3 linked regions of the Macaca mulatta genome follow. The protein of the gene in region 1 purifies or fractionates together with the protein of each later gene. This does not show direct contact. Links are inferred from orthologs where the notes say so. Each region holds a gene or a part of one and is shown on either strand. Other genes may lie near its edges.

Evidence for each region. The genes of interacting proteins can lie anywhere in the genome.
Region 2: the proteins of RPRD1B (region 1) and POLR2M purify together in Homo sapiens (affinity purification with mass spectrometry; 3 studies listed by BioGRID and IntAct, counting the BioPlex papers as one, with this or other methods). This does not show direct contact. The link is inferred for Macaca mulatta from reciprocal best matches to the Homo sapiens genes RPRD1B and POLR2M.
Region 3: the proteins of RPRD1B (region 1) and RPRD2 purify together in Homo sapiens (affinity purification with mass spectrometry; 4 studies listed by BioGRID and IntAct, counting the BioPlex papers as one, with this or other methods). This does not show direct contact. The link is inferred for Macaca mulatta from reciprocal best matches to the Homo sapiens genes RPRD1B and RPRD2.

The regions. Positions count from the first base shown.
Region 1 is NC_133415.1:90,929,082-90,936,752, reverse strand, and holds part of RPRD1B (regulation of nuclear pre-mRNA domain-containing protein 1B), read right to left. Parts: intron 5,343-7,671; coding exon 5,167-5,342; intron 1-5,166. UniProt on the Homo sapiens protein: Interacts with phosphorylated C-terminal heptapeptide repeat domain (CTD) of the largest RNA polymerase II subunit POLR2A, and participates in dephosphorylation of the CTD by RPAP2. Transcriptional regulator which enhances expression of CCND1.
Region 2 is NC_133412.1:35,015,269-35,022,566, forward strand, and holds the end of POLR2M (protein GRINL1A), read left to right. Parts: intron 1-1,126; coding exon 1,127-1,331; intron 1,332-3,344; coding exon 3,345-3,488; 3' UTR 3,489-4,622; downstream 4,623-7,298.
Region 3 is NC_133406.1:116,686,103-116,693,773, reverse strand, and holds part of RPRD2 (regulation of nuclear pre-mRNA domain-containing protein 2), read left to right. Parts: intron 1-4,814; coding exon 4,815-4,915; intron 4,916-5,606; exon of another isoform or gene 5,607-5,779; coding exon 5,780-5,857; intron 5,858-7,124; coding exon 7,125-7,177; intron 7,178-7,671.

The sequences.
Region 1 (7,671 bases):
GACACATGCTACAACATGGGATGAATCTTGAAAACATCATGCTAAGTGAAAGAAGCCAGACACAATTATGTTGTGGAACTTGATACAATACTGTGAATGTACTAAATGCCAACAAAAATCTGTGCACTTTGAAGTGTATGGTTAATTTATGTTATATGAATTTCACCTTAACTAAAACAAATCTGCAGCTTGTAACAAATTTCTCAAGAGCTCTTCCCTGTGTGGCATATCATCTTTGTGTGTGCACCATGTGGCACGTGCGTCAACACAGGACTATCTCCTTTCAGTTCCAGATCACTGACAGTCAGACACCACGATCTGAATAAAAATCGCAGTTAAGGCCAGGCATGGAGGCGCATGCCTGTAATTCCAACACTTTGGAAGGCCAAGGCAGGTGGATCGCCTGAGACCAGGAGTTTGAGAAGAGCCTGGCCAACATGGCAAAACCCCATCTCTACTAAAAATACAAAAACTAGCTGGGTGTGGTGGCGTGCGCCTGTAGTCCCAGCTACTAGGGAGGCTGAGGCACAAGAATCGCCTGAACCTGGGAGGCAGTGTGCTGCAATTGCTCTACTGCACTCTAGCCCTGGGCAACAGAGCAAGAGTCTGTCTCAAAAAACAAACAAACAAACAAAAAAATCACAGTTAAGAAGGTAAAACTGCAGGTTCCTGACCTTTTTTCTTTCCTTAATACTTGTACAAATAGGTTTCTTTCTCACACACACACTCTTCCCCATGCACTGATCATGCTAATGGAACATGTCTGTATTATGCTTTATTCACACTGACAAGACAGGAACCCTATCCAACCCACTCAGACTATGTCTTATGAGCTTTGAGCAGACATCTGGGAGTAATGCAGTCACCTCTGTGAACCACAAACAAAGCTTATCTTTGCTCTGGAAGTGAAGCTAGAAGGCTTTTCTGGTACCTTTGGCCTCTGCCTTTTTGAATGGGCTTTCTTCTATACCCTCCACATTCTCTAACCTCCTCTTTGGGCTGCTATTTGTGCTTCCTTCCACAAGCCTTCTTTTCCATTTCCAGGTTTTCTTATGTTCATGACAAAAACATTAGCAACAGATTTTCAGCAGCATTCCTTCTACCCTTGCCTGGTTTTTAAGGCCCCACATCATACGCCAAATCAATCATGACACCCAGAAGCAAAAGTCAAAAACAAACAAAAAAAGATGATTCTCTCAAAACAAAGCATAATTCTGCTTAAAGGAAAAAAGAAAAGTAGCACAAAGGAGAAAACACACAGAAATTTCTAAAAATGGTTACCTTTCCGAACTAACATATTCTTTACAACCAATCATTAAATCCGATTTGTTAAGTCACTTTTAACGCAAACTAAAAAAAAACCCTTTTCTCTATAGAAAAAGGTTACATCAAGTGATGGATTTCAGTCAAAGAACAAATATTTATTGAGGAACAAATATGTTCCTGGCACTGCGAGAGCACTCAAAGAGCACACAGTCTAGCAAACTTCGGGAGACCTGCTGAAGGCATTATAGTTTCACAAACTGTCCATGATTTGATAAGTCTCACATTTTTAATAAGCATCTGATCAAATTATTATTAGCATCTTCATTTTTTTCTTGGTCTATTTCAGTGTAGACACAAGTGAGAATATTTTCCTTACTGACAATCTTTCTTGAATTCTACCTTAACCCCTTGTTTGCTGCTGTTTCCCCCTGACTCGAGCATAAGCCCCTTGAGGGGAGAAGTGCATCGTGCCCATCTTTGTTGCCAACATCTGGTTGGCACAGACTTTGCTGACTCCCTGAATGAATACATAGCTTCCTAAAGAGCACAGACCTTAATCTCCCCCTGGTGGTCTCCAGCACTTCCTTTCCACATCTGCCTTTGTCCTTCTTCAGATACCGTCTGGTCCAGTCTAACTGCTCCCCATTTATAAACACGTTTCTCTTCTTCAACTATTATTTCCTTTTACAAAAAGGTTTTATTGCTTGACGGCAAGTTTGGACCTACCTTAAACCACAAACAGAACCACCAACTGCCTCCTTAATCTACATTATGTACAATCAAGTGGTTTGGCTTTATGTTCACCTGTGCTGTTTATGCCAGAATATGATTTCCTGGAGGGAAGAAACACAATCTCCTACTTTGAGTCGTAATTCCCTCTTTTACATCCTAGGCTCTGAATCATCATACGCCCAATCCTGACATGTAGGAACCACTGACGTAAAATTCCCAAGTGAAAGAGAAAAAGATGCTTATTACATAAAGATACAAAATTAAAAAGGAAAGCACAAAGAAACCTAAGTATATTAGAGCTTTGGGAAGAAAACAGACTCCCAAGCAAATAACCACTTCTCCAAAGAGTTCTGAGAATTTCATGTATGTATACACTGAAGGCAATGAAAAGATTAAAAAATAAAATATTTAATTAGCATTCTGATTTGGCAGTTTTAAAATGGACTGGCTGTGTTACAAAAATGAATGCTAAAAAAGTGGGTATACTTTATGTACTGCCCCATCACACAGACAGACTTTTGGACAATTTGAAGGAATTCACAGTATTCATGCATCTTTCAAGTGGCATACATTTATCAAGTTGGGCCACCACCACAGGGATGTGATGGGACAGGACCAGTCTATTACAGGGTGAGAAAAATCTTAGGTTCAGGAGAACAGACTGCCTACATTTTTAGCAAACGTGGATAAAGAAAAGAACTAAAACCATCTCTCAAATCTTATATTGTGAGGCGGGCTGATCACTTGAGGTCAGGAGTTCGAGACCAGCCTGGCCAATATGGTGAATCCCTGTCTCTGCTAAAAATAAAAAAAAATAAAAAAAATTAGCCGGGCGTAGTAGTACATGCCTACAATCCCAGCTACCCAGGAGGCTGAGACGGGGGATTGGTTGAGACTGGGAGGTGGAGGTTGCAGTGAGCTGAGATCACGTCACTGCACTCCAACCTGAGTGACAGAGTGAGACTCCATCTCAGAAAAAAACCTTATATTGTATCTAGTCATTTGCTTTCTTTAATGCAGCAAATCGGCTCTATTTTTACAATAAATGGTTCTGCTCATATGCCTGGGAGACATGGTTTGAGATAAGAACCTTCAGTTCAGACTCTGTACTTTGGTTCCAGTGGTGGGGCCTTCCTGTTCCGCTTCTTCAGCAACGGAATGCCAACACCATTCCACTGAATGAACCAGGCAGAGCAATGTAGACTAGAAAGTTACAGGACGCATCCAAAGCTCTAATCTGTTTCTCCACCTTAATGCCCTCTCATGGTGTCCAGCAAACCACTAGTTCTACAAAAACCAGAATGATTCCCCAACAATACACAGAGGAAAGTGCAACTATGGGGAGGGAAAACAGAACAAAGAGTTAACCAGCTCTACCAACCCGATCTCCTCAAAGACTCTGCCCTCTATGGTTGCTTGCCACGTTCCACCCAACAACAGCTGCTCATGATAATCAATGTCTGACAGATCAGAGAAAGCCCTTAATGTGTCGCCAAGGGGCAGTTCAACAGATGGCATGGTGACTTACAACCAGAATCATTAATTACACTCTCTTATTAGTCCCGGGGCACAGTGCTGAAAATGCTTCCTCAGTGAAAGATGAGCATTTCAGATAAATGACCGTCTGGTACTGCCTGTGAAACTCCCTTTAGGATCTCTGGTCAGTGCCGATGTCTAAATCTAAGCCGTAGGATGTTGACAGCCCTTTCGCACCTTCCACATTCAAGCAGGCTACGAATGTGAAGTTCCTGCTACCACTATGCAACACGGTTCCCAGAATCACTGCAGGTAAGGATACGGTAAAAAGTGCCTGCCACTCATTTCCCCTCAAGTCAGATGACCGTGCTGAAAGGCAAATACAATGATCTCAGCCTCAGAGCTAGCTCAATGTTCCCTCCTTCTGTGCCAGAGCATGTTTCCTGAGCATGGAGGTGACATGGCTCTCCTTGTCCCTTGTCTACTCTGAGAGGGATTTAAGAAGTATTTCTTGAAATACAACATGACCGGCTCTCTAACTCAGAAGTGTCCTCCTTTACAAAACCACTGGCTGCAACTCTTTTCCATATCTCTTGAAAAAAGAAGAGCAGACATTCCTGAAAAGGAAGTGCAGCAGCCCGGGGCAGCAAAAGTTCCCAAACATTCACACTGCTGGCTGTGTTATCCCATGGGACCAAGCACTGAGGGTAAACCACCATGCACTTAACTACGAAACCAAACAAGTGTATGGGGAGGAAATGTTTCTGAACTCCCTCCCCAAGGTCACTCGGACTAATGTCCTCAACCCAGGGTAGAAATGAGTTCTTCCTCTACAGTTTGAGAACTGTGCTTTATAAATACTACTGTGAAATTTAAGAGCTGACTACAGATAGATCTTGGAGGCAGACAACTTCTCAGCCACAGCATGGATACAAGTCAGAAATAAACCTCCAAATGGCCAGGCGCGGTGGCTCATGCCTGTAATCCCAGCATTCTGGGCTGAGACGGGCGGATCACGAGGTCAGGAGATCGAGACCATCCTGGCTAACATGGTGAAATCCCGTCTCTACTAAAAATACAAAAAATTATCCGGGCGTGGTGGTGGATGCCTGTAGTCCCAGCTACTCAGGAGGCTGAGGCAAGAGAATGGCATGAACCCGGGAGGTGGAGGTGGCAGTGAGCCAAGATCGTACCACTGCACTCCAGCCTGGGCGACAGCGAGACTCCATCTCAAAAAAAAAAAAAAAAAAAAAAAACCACACACACACAAAAAACAAAACAAAAACAAAAAAAACCTTCCAAATGCCTTAAAAGAAACGTTTTTCAGCACTTCCCAACTACCACCAAACATACTCTTTGGTTTTCACTGATTTGCTATTGTTTTTATACCTCAATTTATAATTTTTTTAAACATGAGTTCAAACGAAAGCAGTATTAAGATCCTAAGGTTGTGATTAAGAGTTCACTGTTTGTTTCCTACAATCCAGTTTGTTCTGTCCTGGACATATAAGAACATGACTTCAATTTTTAACTGTGCTCAAATAACTACAGTATCTGATGGATATTCAGAATTCACATCATGAATTTTTAAATGATAAAAATGTTGTTAATTAAAGCATAATAAAAACCTCCTAATGTGGGCTACAGGAAGGGAAACGTGGACAGTCTGGGTCTGCCTTTTAATGGACTCACCTCTAGCTTTTTCTCCTTCTCGGACAAAACATCTTTCTGATTCTGGGTATACTCCACCAACATCCGAGCCAGCTGGCGACGGTCCTCCAGCTCTGCCGCCAGGCGCCCGTTATATTCTGCTAGTAACAGACATGCTTCATCTACTGTTTTTGAAAGACGTTCAGCTGCCTCTTTGTCTAAGTACAAATGAGATCAAAAAATAGAGAAAATATACAAATCACATAGGTATGATTAGAAACATTTCTGGGGGAGGTTAACAGTTTCTCTCCCAATATACAGAGTCTAAGAATAAGCCAGAACCTGTGGACAAACAATGAGTTGATTGATCAAGAAATCCAAAGGTATTCACCCTGTCAGCAAGACAGGACACTACTCAATTACCCGAGGTAAGGAAGTGGTACAAGGGAGGAATCTGGCAAAGGCTTTCTAAATGCCTGTTCCTGCAAAAGCTCTCCAGACAAAACAAGCAGAAAGAGATATTGAAGATCATCCGTGAAAAAATCGTTCCTTGCCTCTGAGAATTTCAAGTGCTTTCATTTATATTACAGTTGGCCCCCTATATCTGTGGGTTCTGTATCTGTGGATTAACCAACCATAAATGGAAAATACTCAGACCAAAGAACCCCACAAACCAATAAAAATAACGATTAAAAACCCACAATTTAAAAAATACAGAATAACAACTATTAACACAGCATTTACATTGCATTAGCTATGATAAGTAATCTAGAGAGTATTTAAAGTATATGGGAAGATGTTCGTTGGTTATAGACAAATCCGACACCATTTTATTTAAGGGCCGTGAGCAACCTTGGATTTTGGTATTCTCAGAAGGTCTTGGAACCAAACCCCCATGGATATGGAGGGACAACCGTATTTCATTAAGTAGTCTTTTTACTTTCCATTGGAATAAAAAATAGCGTGCACTTTATCTCTTGGGTGTGGGAACTAAGACCTCCTCCCCGCCAAAAAAACCCTACATGACAGGTTTCAATATGCAGTCAGCTAAGATGCTGGGACTCGAAGCCAGATCTCTAAAATGATCTATAGTACTCTATCTCTTAAACTATGTAAGCCTTGGACCTGGGGATGAATTTCTTCCTACATGCAACAAAATGTAAAGTCTGATAAGAAGGAGGTTTGTAAATGTTTCTGAACATGACTCACAGCAGAAATACACTTATGTAAACACAAAGAAAAATGAAAGCAGGTTTCATAAAATACCCATATACCCATTCTTACTATGTGTGCTCTATCTTCTATTTTATTCCTTTTCCTTTTTTTTTTTTTTTTGAGACGGCGTCTTGCTCTGTTGCCCAGGTTGGAGTGCAGTGGCATGATCTCGGCTCACTGCAAGCTGCACCTCCCAGGTTCAAGCCATTCTCCTGCCTACACCTCCCGAGTAGCTGAGACTATAGGCGCCCACCACCACGCCCATCTAATTTTTTTGTATTTTTAGTAGAGACGAGGTTTCTCTGTTAGCCAGGATGGCTTTATTCCATTTTTTAAAATCTGTTGGTCATTAGCTACCAGACTGATTTCATATCCAATTAATGGGTTGTAACTCATGTTTGGGGATGGAAAAACATTAAGAAAGGGTATTACTGGGAAGAAGTGATAAACAAAGGAGGATCTGCATTTACAAAGAATTGACATAATTAATTACCTGTGGGTGGTGATGAGATTAGAATTTTAAATATGTATACCTCATTTTTAAAAGGCCTAAATAGGTCAAAACAGTAGGTTGGTGCTTTGAAACAAAGGGCATCAGAGACTCCCGCAGTACCATGGGACAGTTCCATGACACTCCCTATGGATACAGGCTGTCAGAGGGGAGAGCTCGCGTTCTCCTAGGGAACTAGGATTTCAGAATTCCCAACACAGTAGCTCTGGCAAACAGCCATGTGGCTTTTAGATGCTTTCTTAATGTGAACATTGCAAGAGGAACTGCTGAAGGATTCCAGATTGGGTGGGATGCCAAAGATTAGGCACCTCTACCCTCCTCAGGGATGGGAAACAAAAGAATGTCCTTGGTGAAAGGGAAGAAGTGAGCCGAATGGAGCACAAAGGAAAGAGATCACCTCATTCACAGAGGATAAAGGACCACCAAACTTCTCCCAGCTCAGTGGCTCATTCCATGAGCAAGCTCCTGGGGTGGTTAGGTTGGTTTTAGTTTTGTTATTGCTTGACTGATCATTTTTTAAAAATGGTTAATTCACTAAGATGTTTAGGTGCCTGTGGCAAAAAATGGCAAATACTAATTTTTAAGATTAAAAAGAAAATCAATTTGCAGCCTCAAGAACTTTTACAAAGGAAATAATTCATTTACACAAATTACAACCCAGAAAAGTAACTTATAATAATTTAGTGAGTTACACAAAATATGCAGTGAAAATGCAGAAGCCAGATGCTCACTTCAGGGGACCTACCCACGTTGTCCGCACGCTCCCTGCTCTCCTTCACCCATCAGAGTGGCAAGTGCCTCTTTCAGCCAGTCCTCCAAGC
Region 2 (7,298 bases), on another chromosome or scaffold:
GTGGCTTGGAGGTTGGAAGGTGGGGTCATTTAGTGTCCTTGGGTCCTTTCTGCTCTTCCTTCTGCATACTCTTCTGGTTTCATGTATCACCTGGATGCTGGAGGCTGACCCCTGTCCACCTCTATCCCAGATCTTCCCAGAACTTTAGGTTTGCATAGCCAATTAACCATGAAACTTGACCACTTGGGTGTTCCTAGGCACCTCAGCTTAATCATGTACAAAGTGGAACTTCTGTTTCTTTCCAAGGTAATTTCCATATTTCCTAATAGGACCACTACGTTCTTTGTTTTCTTCCCCTAAGGTATCTTCCATTTTTCTCATCTCCGTATCTGCTAGCCATGAAGACCTACTTATTTCTTTGATCTTCATCTCTATAATTGTTCTTCATCTTCTGTCGAAGTGAAGACTCTCATCTCTCTCGGGCTATAATTGTGGCCTCTTCTACCTCTAGTCTTATTAACTACCAGTCAGTCTCCACTGCTGCCAGAGTGAAATTTGTAAGATGGAAATCTGAATTTGTTACGGAGAACTCTTCATTGCAGTCTGGGCCCAGCCTACTTCCCAGCCTTCTTTCTGGCTGTCTTTTCTGTGTAGCCAGAAAAGCTGAGTCTCTCTACCTTCTGTACTTTCTCTCACTCCCCTTGCTGGGATGCACTTCTCTCCTTATTTAAATGGTAAGCAGTTATTCCAAGACTCTTCAAAGCTTTTTAGAAGCTTTTCTTACAGCCTCCCTGTCTCCCACTAGAACTGGCCATTTCCTAATGTTCCAGTGTATCTTGTTGAGATATCTGCCATAGTACCTCTGGTATTATATTGCACTGAAACTTTACATGTTTCTTTCTTTCTACTGGGCAATAAGCCCTTTTGCAAATGTTCTTTGAATGATACATGAAAAAAAAAAAAAGCTCCAGATGAAATATAAGGTTTGAATAAGGAAGGAAAAGGCAAGAGCCTGTGTGCACACAAACACACCCCTGTTTGTTAGAGCAATAAATACTGGTAAACTGCTTACTATTACCTTTGGAGGAGAGTTAATTGCTGAGGTAAAGCTCATTTGTGTGAATGTTTTAAATGTGTCTACAAATAAAATAGTCTGATTATATAGCACAAGTTTTCTTTTCATCAGGTTACCTTTTCGACAAAATGATTCGTCTAGTCATTGTCAGAAGAGCGGGTCTCCTATTTCCTCAGAAGAGCGGCGGTGCAGGGATAAGCAGCATCTTGATGACATCACAGCAGCTCGGCTTCTACCGCTTCACCATATGCCTACGCAGCTGCTCTCCATAGAAGAATCTTTGGCACTTCAGAAACAACAGAAACAGAATTATGAGGTATTTAGAGTATTATTTTTTTTCTTGTCTGTTTGTTTGGTGCCTCTTACATAAGCCAGAATTTACTCCAGGTTCAAGGAGGAAGGAATGGAATAGAGGGGATTAGGTGCTTCCATGAGCTCAGACCTATGCCACTAGTTTTCAGAGACCTATGCCATTAGTTTTCAGAGTCATAAAGTTGCTAGAACTGCAGGAAATGGCTAGAGATGATCACAGCTACCTTCAACATGAAAGTGGTGATTTGCCAGGAAATGTGGGGAGACTATTGTAGAATTTCGTGTCTTGAAGCTCATGTACCTGCCTGTTCCTGTTAGGATAGTAGTAGCATCGCATCTCTCCCTTTCACCTTGTAAAACCCATGTGACAGCTTCTGAGTGGTGGACTGTAACCCAGACCCCTTGTTAGAGAATGAGGAAAATGTAGTTCCCAGGCTTCCATCTCCTGCAGTACAGGGGAGGGCATAGAAGGAGTGGGAGGATAATGTTGTATAGCCAGCAGACAGTGAGACACTGTTTCAGAGCATAATCCGCAGGCCTATGTGAAGAGAAAAAATCTGCTTTTGGCAACTTAATCAATTTTGCATAGCACTTTGTTTCCATGTGTTTTGCATTGAACTTTAAACTTATATGTTGAGAGTTTGTATACAGAGTAATGGGATGGGAGAAAATAAGTGTGAAGCACCACAGGGGAATAGAAAAGTTTAGAAGTATTTAGTAACAATTTTAGCCTCCAGGAGAACAGTATCCTGTCTCACTTCCTAGGTGTTGCTTAGCTAGATTTTAGTCAGGTACTAGTGTACCAGCCAGTATCACACCAGGCTGTTCAGGAGTTCGAGACCAGCCTGGGAAACATAGCTAGACTCCATCTTTACCAAAAAATTAGCCGGGCATTGTGGCATGCAGCTGTGGTCCCAGCTACCCGTGAGACTGAGGTGGGAGGATTGCTTGAGCCCAGGAGGTCGAGGCTGCAGTGAGCTGCAATCGCACCACTGCACTTTGTATAGTCTGGGTGACAGAGTGAGACCCTGTCTCAAAAAAAACCCAGCAAAACAGGCTGTTAATCTGCCTTGGCTTTTCATAAAAGCCTTGGCATGGATTGGCATTTTCAAGGTGCTCTTTTTCAAAAAACCCATATTTCTTTCTCTCAGTGCATTAAAATTACTGCCTAGTTATGACCGTAGCATTGAGGAAGTGTTTATTGTCTCTGGGCTCTTAAATGCCCATCCTAAGATATTTTTAGGTTGAATTAAACCCTTTATCTTTAAATTGGTTTTCTTGGCAGAGGTAATAGCTCCCACTTTTACTTACCCATATTCATGGCTTGAAGAGGAAGACATCAAGAAACTCAAGAAAGCATGAGAAAAGGGAAGAACAGAATTAGGAATGACATTGCCACCTACCATGAGTTGGTGGTGAAGTCCTTAGCAGTTTTTAAGTACTTTGCCAGTGTCTGAAATTTACTTGGACTTTTTATTAGATACTAGTTGCTGTAGGACTTTATTTGGAGAGGAATAGTCAGCTTTTTAGTATTAATTTCTTAATTTTCATTTTGCCATTGAAATGTAATTCCCAAGTCCAGAAGTCATGATTTTTATTAGGGAAGAAGGTTCTGTCAGTTGTAGAAATCTAGACAATATTAATCATTTTTGACATTTGATAGGTCACATTGTTATGTGAGCGTGTATACATGTACATGTGCCCACATATTTAATGCATCTGCATTTATAACTGTTGTTGTGCTAAGCTGATTACTCAGTTTCTTATATAGAGGAATGTATTTCAATGCAATGTTGTATATTAATGGAGGTCAGTAACTTCAACTGTAGCAGGCTGGTGGCTGTCAGAAGCATTACCCAGTTGTGTCTGATAGGGCACAGCCAACAGGCTTGTATTGCCCAAGGGAGCACTCGGTGAGGTGTCAGTACCCCTCATATCGCTGATTCTAGATAACTTCCCATTGAAAAATTGAAGAGATGTGAACGTGTAACTTTTTGCTTTGCTCTTTGTTTTAAAGGAGATGCAAGCAAAGCTCGCAGCGCAAAAATTAGCTGAAAGACTGAATATTAAAATGCGGAGTTATAATCCAGAAGGGGAGTCTTCAGGGAGATACCGAGAAGTAAGGGATGAAGATGACGATTGGTCCTCTGATGAATTCTGAAGATAATCTCCTAAATCACTGACGTTGAGGTGTCATCATCTTACATCAGACTTTCTAACTAGTATCAAGATCAGTGTCAGATATTGTTGAGGGAAGTAATTTTATAAAGTTACACAAAGGTAGTTATTAAAAAAAATCCCAGTTTGTCTTTCAGAAGATGACTTTCATGTGCTTGAAAAGTTTAATTTTTGAATATTGTGTTTAACCACATGGTATTAAAATTTTGCAATATATTGTGTATTGGTCTGATATTTTAGTATATAGTAGAACATACTTTTTTTCTTTAAGCCAAATGAAAAGAGAGAACTTTGCTTTTTTCCTTATTCTTAACTATCAAATAGCATTTATTACATGTCTTTCAGTGAAATACTTAGTTCCAGGCACCCAAAATCAATTAGGAAGACATAGTTCCCTTCTCTTTTGGGTAATGAAGGGAGCAGTCTAAAGAATTGTATGCATGTTTGCATGGGGTTATTGAGACATTGGATGTGAAATACTTAGGAAGACATGCATGGAGAATGCTTAACAAATGCTCTTCTCCTTTTTCTGTCTTCCCTTAGGAAGAATGTTCTCTCTCTTCTGATTAGGAAGGAATTCCCTTTTGAGTAGATGCTGGAAGGTGGAAGTTTTTTTTTTTGTTTGTTTGTTTGGTTTGGGTTTTTTTTTTTTTTTTAGAGTCTTGCTCTGTCGCCCAGGCTGGAGTGCAATGGGGCACTATCTTGGCTCACTGCAACCTAGGTGGAGGTCTTTTTAAATAACCTCATGTTACTTCAGGCAAATCTGGTACAGGAAAAGTCCAGGCTAACTGAGCTAGGTGAAGGCTTGTGCATCACCTGGCTTGAGTTCCTTGCTGTCACAGATGATAGGTTCATGTACAGAACATTAATGTTTGGTAAGGAAAGCATTTTTTTTGTTATTGTTGTTACAATTGTCAGTACTTTACTTTTTTCCCCCCAAAGAGGCAGATATAGACTGCAGAAACTTCAGTCTCATATATAAATGTTCATGTCATTTTAGAGGATTATATGGTTGTCTCCAGAGAAATTAACTTACATTATCAAAAAATTCTTTGTCTAATGTATTGGAGTCTTTAAAAGTGTTGAAGAATAAAATATTAATTAGAACAACTTCAAATGCTAATGGTGATGTTTTACTGGGACTTAATTAAATACTTTTACTTTTGAAAAAGACTGTTCACATTTGCTTCCAGGTGTAGTTATTGCTTTCAGTCCTCACCCACCTCAAGCAAATGTGAAAAGTATACTGACCTAAGAGTCTCATTAGTTTTAGTTCTTAAAACTAATAGTAAATGATTTTGCAGCATAAAATTTGATGTTACTTGTGGAAAGCTGGATGATATGGAAGAGTTCATGTGCCTGGACACACAGTTCCCTGTAATCCTGCCACCTAGGGAGATAACCTCTGTTAACATTTTGATGTTGTGGTTTTACTTATTTTTCTAATCATAGTTATACATTTATTTTCTCAAAAATGCAATCATAATGTACATTGCTTTGTGGTCTGCTCTATGTATTGTCAACATTTTCCCATATTAAGTATCTTGCTTTTTAGATAGCTGTAGGATATTTTATTTCATGGATATACCATAACTTTAAGACTGATTCCCTATTCAGCAATTTGATTATTTATTATAATGTAATCTGTAAATAGTGATGTGATTAACATCTTAAAATAATCACATCTATACAAAATGACTTATTTCCAGAAGAGACCGCTCTAGAAATGAAATTGTTAGGTGAAAGTGTTTTCGAGAATCTTTATATATCACTCACTGCAGAGATCATGTTCATTTACATTCCTATTAGCAATATATCCAACGCTCAGAATTGAAAATTACTACTTAAAATCTTTGGAAATTGAATAATTACAGAAAAGGGCTACATTTAAAATTTGTATTTTTTTTATTACTTAGTGAAGGTTGTGTTTTTTTTCCACGTTCATTGGCTATTCTGTATTCATTCTTTTGAGAATTGCTCATTCATATTTTTTCTGTTACCTGGTGAATTTGCTCTTTTCTTGGCTTGTAAGTTCTTAAGAATGTGCGTCCTTTGTCATATATTGTAACTTTTTTTTAGCCTTGTCATTTAACATAGTTTGTGATATTTTAGTGTAGAAGTTGTTTTCTTTAGGAGTCTACCTTTGTATATGTGCTTGAAACTATTTTTGTAATCCAAGAATGGATAAATGTCCTTTTCTTCTTCTAGTATTTTCTTATTTCACTTCTACACCTGTCTTTAAAAGGAATTTAAATTTTGTTTATATACATTAACTAAATCAGTACAAGTTTGGGGTGAAAAGGAAATTTTTAATCCATCTCAAATGTATTTGGGTATATTATATAAGGTAGGGATTTGATTTTATTTCAAAGAGTTTACCAATTGGTTCAGTATCTGAAACCACCATTTCCCCTCTGATTCGTAATGCTATTTTTATAGAATATTAAATTCTTATGTCTTTTGTATCTTAGGCCAATTTCTGGGCCTTCTGGGTTTTTTCCACACTGTCAATAATTATCGCTTTAATTGGTGTTAATATTTGGAAGTACAGGTTCTCCCTTGTTCTTTTAAATTTTGTGAAATATAACCTACAAATAAGTACTTAAAACAGAGTTTAATGGGTAAAGCAACAGCTGTGTAATCACAAACCAGATGCAGAGGAGGTCCTGCCAGCACTCCAAAATCTCCTTTTGTCCCCTCTTGACACTCACTCTTTCCCCCAGAGGTAACTATTCTGACTTAAATTCTCCCTTTGTCCTTTTAAGAATTATTTTACCAGTTATGTGTGTAACAATATGGTTTACGTTTTGCTCACTTTTGACTTACATAAAAATAGAATATTGTATGTTGTGTTTGGTGTCTTTCAACATTGCATGTAAGATTCATGTCACATGGTGTGTTTCATTCATTTTCATTGCTGTGTAATGTGCCATTTCATTAGTACCACTATTATTCCACTTTGATGAGTACTTTGAGATTTTCAGTTTTTGTCTATTATAAGTAATGCTTCAGTGAGCATCTTTGTGCACGTAAACATGTTTCCATAGAATGTGTACCTAGGAGTGGAATTGCTCAGTTATAAGGTATGCATACCTTTAAAATTTTATATTCCCTCCTCTGCTTCCATGATGTGTGAGTGCTTGTTCATCAAACACTTGGTGTTGCCAGATTTTAACTTTAGCCAATATGTTTATATAGTAGGCGTTCATTGTGTGTGTGTGTTTCTGTCTTCTGAGATGGAGTCTCGCTCTGTCACCCAGGCTGGAGTTCAGTTGTGTGATCTTGGCTCACTGCAACCTCTGCCTCCTGGGTTCAAATGATTCTCCTGCTTCAGCCTCCCGAGTAGCTGGGACTATAGGCGCATGCCACCACGCCCAGCTAATGTTTTGTATTTTTAGTAGAGACGGGGTTTCACTGTGTTAGCCAGGATGGTCTTGATCTCCTGACCTCATGATCTGCCTGCCTCCGCCTCCCAAAGTGCTGAGATTACGGGTGTGTGCCACCACCCCCGACCTCATTGTGGTTTTATTTTACCTTTCCCTGATTAGAAATGGCATATGAGCATTTGTTATGTTTATTGGGCACTGGATTTCTTCTTTTGAAAAGTGCCCATTCAAGTCTTTTTTTTGTTTGTTTGGTTTTTTTTTGTTTTTTTTTTTGTTTTTTTTTTTAAGAGAGAGTTGTTCTGTTGCCCAGGCTGGGTTGGGGTGCAGTGGCATGGTCACAGCTGACTGTAACCTCTAACTCCTGGGCTCAAGGGATACTTCTGCCTCAGCCTCCTGGGTAGCTGACG
Region 3 (7,671 bases), on another chromosome or scaffold:
CTTCTGGAAAGGATTCACCATTCTAGATGGCATGAAGAACATTTGTGATTCATGGGGAGAGATCAAAATATCAGTATTAGGCCTAGGCATGGTGGTTTACGCCTGTAATCCCAACACTTTGGAGGCCGAGGTGGGCAGATCGTGAGGTCAAGAGATCGAGACCATCCTGGCCAGCATGGTGAAACCTCGTCTCTACTAAAAATACAAATATTAGCCAGGTGTGGTGGTGCACGCCTGCAGTTCCAGCTACTCAGGAGGCTGAGGCAGGAGAATCCCTTGAACCCGGGGGCAGAGGTTGCAGTGAGCCGAAATCGCACCACTGCCCTCCAGCCTGGCCACAGAACGACACTCGCTCTGTCTCCAAAAAATATATATATATGTATATTATATATACATTTATAATGTACCTACATTATATATACATTTTATATATATAAAATATGTAAATAATATATATTTATAAAAACGTAAAACAGGAGTTTGGAAGAAGTTGATCCCATCACTCATGGATGTCTTTGAGGGGGTTCAAAACTTCAATGGAGGAAGTAACTAAAGGTGTGGTGGAAATAGCAAGAGAACTAGAATTGGAAATAGAACCCAAAGATGGGACTGAATTGCTATAATCTCATGAATAAAGCTTGAACAAATGAAGAGTTGCTTCTTATGGATGAGCAAAGAAAGTGGTTTTGCTGGGCACAGTAGCTCACGCCTGTAATCCTAGCACTTTGGGAGGCAGAGGCAGGTGGATTGCCTGAGCTCAGGAATTCAAGACCAGCCTGGGCAACATGGTGAAACCTCATCGCTACTAAATATACAAAAAATTAGCTGGGTATGGTGGTGGGTGCCTGTAGTCCCAGCTTCTCAGGAGGCTGAGGCAGGAGAATTGCTTGAACCCAGGAGGCAGAGGTTGCAGTGAGCTGAATTCGTGCCACTACACTCCAGCCTGGGCAGCAGAGTGAGACTCTGTCTCAAAGAAAAAAAAAAAGAGTTTCTTGAGATGGAATCTACTGATGAACATGCTGTGGACATTGTTCAAATGACAACAAAGGATTTTAGAATATTGCATTAATGGAGCAGCAGCAGAATTTGAGAGGACTGACTCCAGTTTTGAAAGAAACTTATGGGCAAAATGCTATCAAGCTATATTGCATGCTACAAAAAAAATCTTTGTGAAAGGAAGAGTCAATTTATGTAGCAAACCTCATTATCTTAAGAAATTGCCAGAGCCACCTCAGCCTTCAGCAGTCACTACCATGATCAGTCAGCAGCCATCAACATCAAGGCAAGACCCTCCACCAGCAAAAAGAATATGATTTGCTGGAGATTCAGATGATTGTTAAGGTTTTTTGAGCTACAAAGTATTTTTTTAACTAACATGTATATTATTTTTAACACATAATGCTATTACACACTTAATTGACGTATAGTGTAAATGTAACTTTTTAAAAATTTATTTGTTTGTTTTTTAGAGACAGAGTCTTACTCTGTCACCCAAGCTGGAGTGCAGTGGCTTGATCAGGGCTCACTGCAGACTCGAACCGCTGGTCTCAAGCAATCCTCCCACCTCAGCCCTCCAAGTGGCCAGGACTACAGGTGTACCCCACTACGTCTGGCTAGTTTTTGTATTTTTTTCCTGAGACAGGGTTTTGCCATGTTGCCCAGACTGGTCTCAAACTCCTGGACTCAATCTGCCAGCTTCAGCCTTCCAATGTGCTGGAACTGTAGGCATGAGCCACTGTGCCCAGCCTAAACCTTACAATTTTCTAGAGGTTTATTAACCAGAAAGAACAGACTCTACTGTCATTTCTTATATTTTTTTTTTGCTGAGATTCTTTCTCTCATTATAAAAAAAAAAAACCAGAAAAGTCGAGCCGCGCATCGTGGCTCACATCTGTAACCCCAGCACTTTGGGAGGCCGAGGCGGGCAGATCATGAGGTCGGGAGTTCGAGACCAGCCTAGCCAATACGGTGAAACCCCGTCTCAACTAAAAAAAAAAAAAATACAAAATTTAGCCGGGCATGGTGTCACGGGCCTGTAGTCCCAGCTACTTGGGAAGCTGAGGCGGAAGAATCACTTGAACTCGGGAGGCGGAGGTTGCAGTGAGCGGAGATTGCACCACTGCACTCCGGTCTGGGTGACAGAGCAAGACTCATCTCAAGAAAAAAAAAAAGTCATGTGTTGCTTAACATCAATATATTCTGAGGCCGGGTGCGGTGGCTCACGCCTATAATTCCAGCACTTCGGGAGGCCAAGGTGGGCAGATCACTTGAGGTCGGGAGTTCAAGACCAGCCTGGCCAACATGGTGAAACCCTGTCCCTACGGGAAAAAAAAAAAAAAAAAATTAGCTGGGCATGGTGGCAGGCACCTGTAATCCCAGCTACCCGGGAGGCGGAGGCAGGACAATCGCTTGAACCCAGGAGGCAGAAGTTGCAGTGAGCTGAGATCACACCATTGCACTCCAGCTTCAGTGACAGAGCAAGACTCAATCTCCAAAACAAAAAAAGAATATGTTCTGAGAAATGCGTCATTAGGGAATTTTATCCTGTGAACATCATGGAGTGTACTTACATAAACGTAGATGGTATAGCCTACTAAAAACCGAAGCTATATTGTGTAGCCTATTGCTCTTCGGCTGTAAACCTGCACTGCATGTCACTGTATTGAATACTATAGGCAATTGTAACACAATGGTAAGTACTTACATATCTAAACTTTTTTTTTTTTTAAAACGGAGTCTCGCTCTCTCTCCAGGCTGGAGTGCAGTGGCGCAGTCTCAGCTCACTGCAACCTTCGACTCCCTGGTTCAAGCAATTCTCCTGCCTCAGCATCCCGAGTAGCTGGGATTACAGACATGCACCACCATGCCCAGCTAATTTTTGTATTTTTAGTAGAGACGGCGTTTCACCATGTTGGCCAGGATGGTCTTGATCTCCTGACCTCTTGATCCGCCGGACTCGGCCTCCCAAAGTGCTGGGATTAACAGGCGTGAGCCACCGTGCCCGGTCATATCTAAACATTATAGAACACAGAAAATTGTGAAAAGTATAAAGAAAAATTCACTCACTTTCACCAAATGGAGATTTACAAAATAACAATTTCCTTTTTTTTTTTTTTTAAGATAACAATTTCAGTATTACTATCTTCCAGTCTTTTTCTTCTATAAATGTTAGCATTGTATTTGAAACCAGTCACACGCATAGTCAGGCATACCTTGGAGATATTGAGGTTTCACTTCCAATCCACCACAATAAAGCAAATATTGCAGTAAAGCATGTTACATGCAGGTGGATCACTTGAGCCCAGGAGGTTGAGGCTGCTGTGAGCCAAGATCACGCCACCATAGTTCAGCCTGGACAACTGAGTGAGACCCTGTCTCAAAAAAAAAAAGAAAATTATAAGGTTTAATACAATTTTCTCTGTTTCTTACCCATTCTTAGGCAAGAAAAGAAATTCTTTGTGAATACATGATGATATGGATTCATAGACTCTCATCCTTGAAAGAGGCCTTAAATTTGACATAGCTTTTTTTTTTTTTTTTTTTGAATCATATACTTCAATCTCCACATGGTTTGGTGGATTCACTTAGGGAGAGGTTAAATTCCTGTTTTGTCTTTTGACAGATCTATTAAATTATTAGAATGGTTTCTGTTCTTTGGCAGATCTGTTAGAATAAAATTTCTTTTCCCTATGGCTTCATACTTTTGTCCTTGTTTTGCTTCCTGAGATCACACCAGTTTGATTCCTCTTCCTGACAACGGTTATGCCCTTCCTGCATTGTTTTTTTTATATTTCTTTTACATTTCACAAAGCATAATTAAAATCTTAAATTATTAATTTTATTGGTAATTATTTATCATTCACTTCTACTTTAACTTTTTTTTTTTTTTTTTTTTTGAGACAGGGTCTTGCTTTGTGGCCCAGGCTGGGTTGCAGTGTTATGATCACCGGTCACTACAGCCTGGATCTCCTGGGCTCAAGCGATTCTCTTGCCTCAGGCTCCCATGTAGGAGATACTACAAATGTGTGCCACCACATGTGGCTAATTTTTTCATTTTTAGTAGAGATGAGGTCTCTCTCTGTATACCAGGCTGGTCTTAAACTTCCAAGCTCAAGTGGTTTTCCCAGCTCGGCCTTTCAAAGTTGGCCAGACTGGTCTCGAACTCCTGACCTTAGGCAGTCCATCCACCTCGGCCTCCCAAAGTGCTGGGGTGGCAGGCGTGAGCCACTGTGCCCGGCCAACATTTTTTTAAAGTTAGATAGCCAACTTGAACCAGAAGCTCATCTGTGATCCAGCCAGAATAAACCAATACCCTTTACTTCCCTAATTCTTATTGTGTATTCTCATAGTATTATGTAATAGTCTTTTAGAAAACATGTTACAGTATGTGATTGATTCAAGATTTTTTTTCTAAACCTTTAAAAAATGAAAAAATATAGCATTGCTAAACCTTGTCTTCTTATTCAGTACTACTATAATTGTGTTTTAGACCAGGTTTTTCAATCTCTTTTAGAATTCCCGTTGTGTCCACACATTCCCAGCCCTCTCAAGTTCATATCCATCAAAAAGCTCTCAGTATGTCATCTGTAGTTTCATCTATGTCATTTATAAAAGTGTTGAATGGTAATTTAAGATTCTTAAAATCTTTAAAGTTTAAGATTTCTTTAGTCCTGGATATTATAGAAAAAAAGTTTTGAAATAAACATCAGAAGAAATTTGGAAAATAATTTTATTGATAACTTTATTTTCAGATTTCTAGTTTGGAATAGAAGTCAAGGTTTTTATAGTCTGTATTACTTTTTCTTTGTTTTCAGGGATCCATCTGTCTCTAAGTCTGTAGAACGAATCTTTAAAATCTGGGAAGATAGAAATGTATACCCAGAAGAGATGATTGTGGCATTGAGAGAAGCTTTGAGTAAGTGTCTTTTTTCTCTCCTAAAAGAAAATTTTGAGTCAGTCTTTACAATTACATAATTTTATAGATATGGTCATGTTGTATAATAGTGAAAAATTAAGTTTTGAATCTAGCCCTATTTGTTTAAAATTAAATACTTTTGAGAAACCTAGATCTGTTTGAATTAAAATGTAAATAGAATTGGTTTTAGGGATGGGGTTGGATTTTGTTTTTTAGTGATAACAAAAGTCAAGCATATTAAGTGGTGATAGCCATCTGGTTATTTTCCTGCATTTGCATTGAGTGTTTCAAATGGTTCATTGTTTGTGTTAATAAATACTGCCCTGTGCCCTTACTGTTGGAGAATTTTTCACAGGGTGTCAATTCTCACTAAGCTGTTTGGTAGTAAGCATATATCGGCAGTCTTTAGACTGTCTTTTGATTTAGATTTACAGTAAGTTGTGTACTGTTTTGTTAAAAGGAATTTAATTCTTATGTATTATATGCTTGTAATTAAGTTATTGAGTAGAAGTTGGTGATAATCTGCTACCATGACCGTCATTTGACTAGAAATTTGCTTTAAAAATGGCATCTTCTAAGAAGCTGTTAAATTCTTCATTTTAAGTTGTTAATTGGTATTTTTAAGCCTCCTTCCCTATTTTTTTCAGAATTGGTAATTTCACTGATGATAAAAATCATGTTTATTTGACAGCTTCTTAGATCGGGTAGGAATTTCTATTTTTTCATAAAAATGAAAGAAAAGGAAAGAAAGAAACAACACACAGTCTCGGATTGCCTTTTTTCATGCTGCAACTTTGGCACTGAAGTGGACAGACAGAACAGCTTCCCATAATGCCAGATTGCAAAAACTGAAATGTTTTCCAGGTACCACTTTCAAAACTCAGAAGCAGCTGAAAGAAAATCTGAACAAACAACCGAATAAGCAGTGGAAGAAATCACAAAGTAAGGAACAAAATCTCAACTAATATAAAATTACCTCCTCTTTTTGGAGCAGAAGAAAATGTAGACCATTTGACATCGTACCTGGCATAAACCATGGGCAAGCCTGTTTTCCAGGCCTGGGAGGCTCCCAGTGACCTATGATAAACAAGCCATCATGGAGTTACTTCTTAAAAAAAAAAAGCAAACAAAAACTACACTTTAAAACAAAGGAAATGCAGAAAAGGGTTTAATTGAGTGAAGATTCAAGAGTAGTTGGGGGATTGAAAGAAGAAAAAAATACTTGATAGTGTCCAGGCTAATTTTCAGGTTCAAGGATATATGATGTTAGAGGCAGCTGGCATTAAACAACAGATCTGAAGAGGAGACTAGGCATTAAGAAGCATTTCTGTGGGAACCATGAAATCTCCAGATTTGGGGGATATACTCTACCAAATTAGACGTGGGCCTCAGATCCTGGCCAGAAGCTCATTCTGTAATGGGAGCTCCTGTTATATTTATCATATTTACCCAGCATGAGATCAAGGGAATGGAATACTGCATGTGATAGGCTGCTGTGGGCAAACTGAGGAATATTGAGAGAGACTTGAAGGTATGGAGGGAACAAAGTAAAAGAGAGTGAGAATTGGGAGGTAAAACAAGACACTTGGGATGGTTTTGCTCCAGCGAGCATATGATATCCATCATGATTAAGGGAGTCCTCAGACATCCTTTTGGTCATAAGTTGCATGCTTAGGAACAACAAGAGTCGTCATTTCAGCCAAAGTTCAACCACAGTGTTAATATACCTAGAAGTTTCCTTGCCTATTTTTGCTATGAATTGAGTCAGCAGAAAAAGAAATTCAAAGGATAAATATATAGGAATAGAGTTATTTGTCACTAATTTTCTTCAGCCAGTGCTCAGGATTAATTGGATGTCCTGTTCCTGAACACTCTTAATTTGAGGTATTTAGATCCTCTTACACCCACACTAGGAAAAAAAGGTACTTGATGTATCTCGGTGTCTCCAAATCAATAATTCTAGGACTTTATGACTTCAAGGGTCTGTTGGAGGTAAGTAGATTAGGTCTGTCTAAATAGCATATTTTTACATTGACCATGTTTAGGAGTGTTCAAATTTCCTAGTCCATTATTTATTTTAGGAATTATGACTTAAATGTGCATGTTGCCATATGTTCAGAGTATATCCTTAACTATAGAGCTAAAATTTTTCCTATTAGTCAACTTTTTGTGTCTGTATTCTTAATGACCTTTTGTTTAATTCCAACAGCATCTACAAATCCAAAAGCTGCTCTCAAGTCTAAGATAGTTGCGGAATTTCGAGTAAGTTACAGAATTTGTTTAATACAGCAAAGTATTATTCACCCCTTTTGTATTATAGTTTCCTGTATAGTCCAATAAGATTTATTTGTATTCAGTTACACCTGTCATGTTTTAAACATGCGGGAACTGTTCTAAAGGAACCCAGATTGGGATTAGATTGCTTGGCATTTTATCTGTTCCCCTAATGGTAGAAATAACCTTCTTCCAGTATATCTATTATCAGCTGAGTTCTGTATTCAATTTATGCCAGCAAGAGAGTTTATTTTCCTGTGAAACTCTTTCTAAATTAGAATTTGCTTACAGAAGGCTATGTTTATGTAATTAAAATTTAAAGAGGCTTTGTAAGTGGACCTTTGTCTGTTTTAGTCTTAACTCTGTATCCATAAATTAGCTTTGTATAATTAAGGAAAAGGATCTTTTAAAGTCTACAACTAAACATGATTTTGACATGAGAATTGATCATTAATATCTGTGACTGTGAGAAAAAGTGAAAA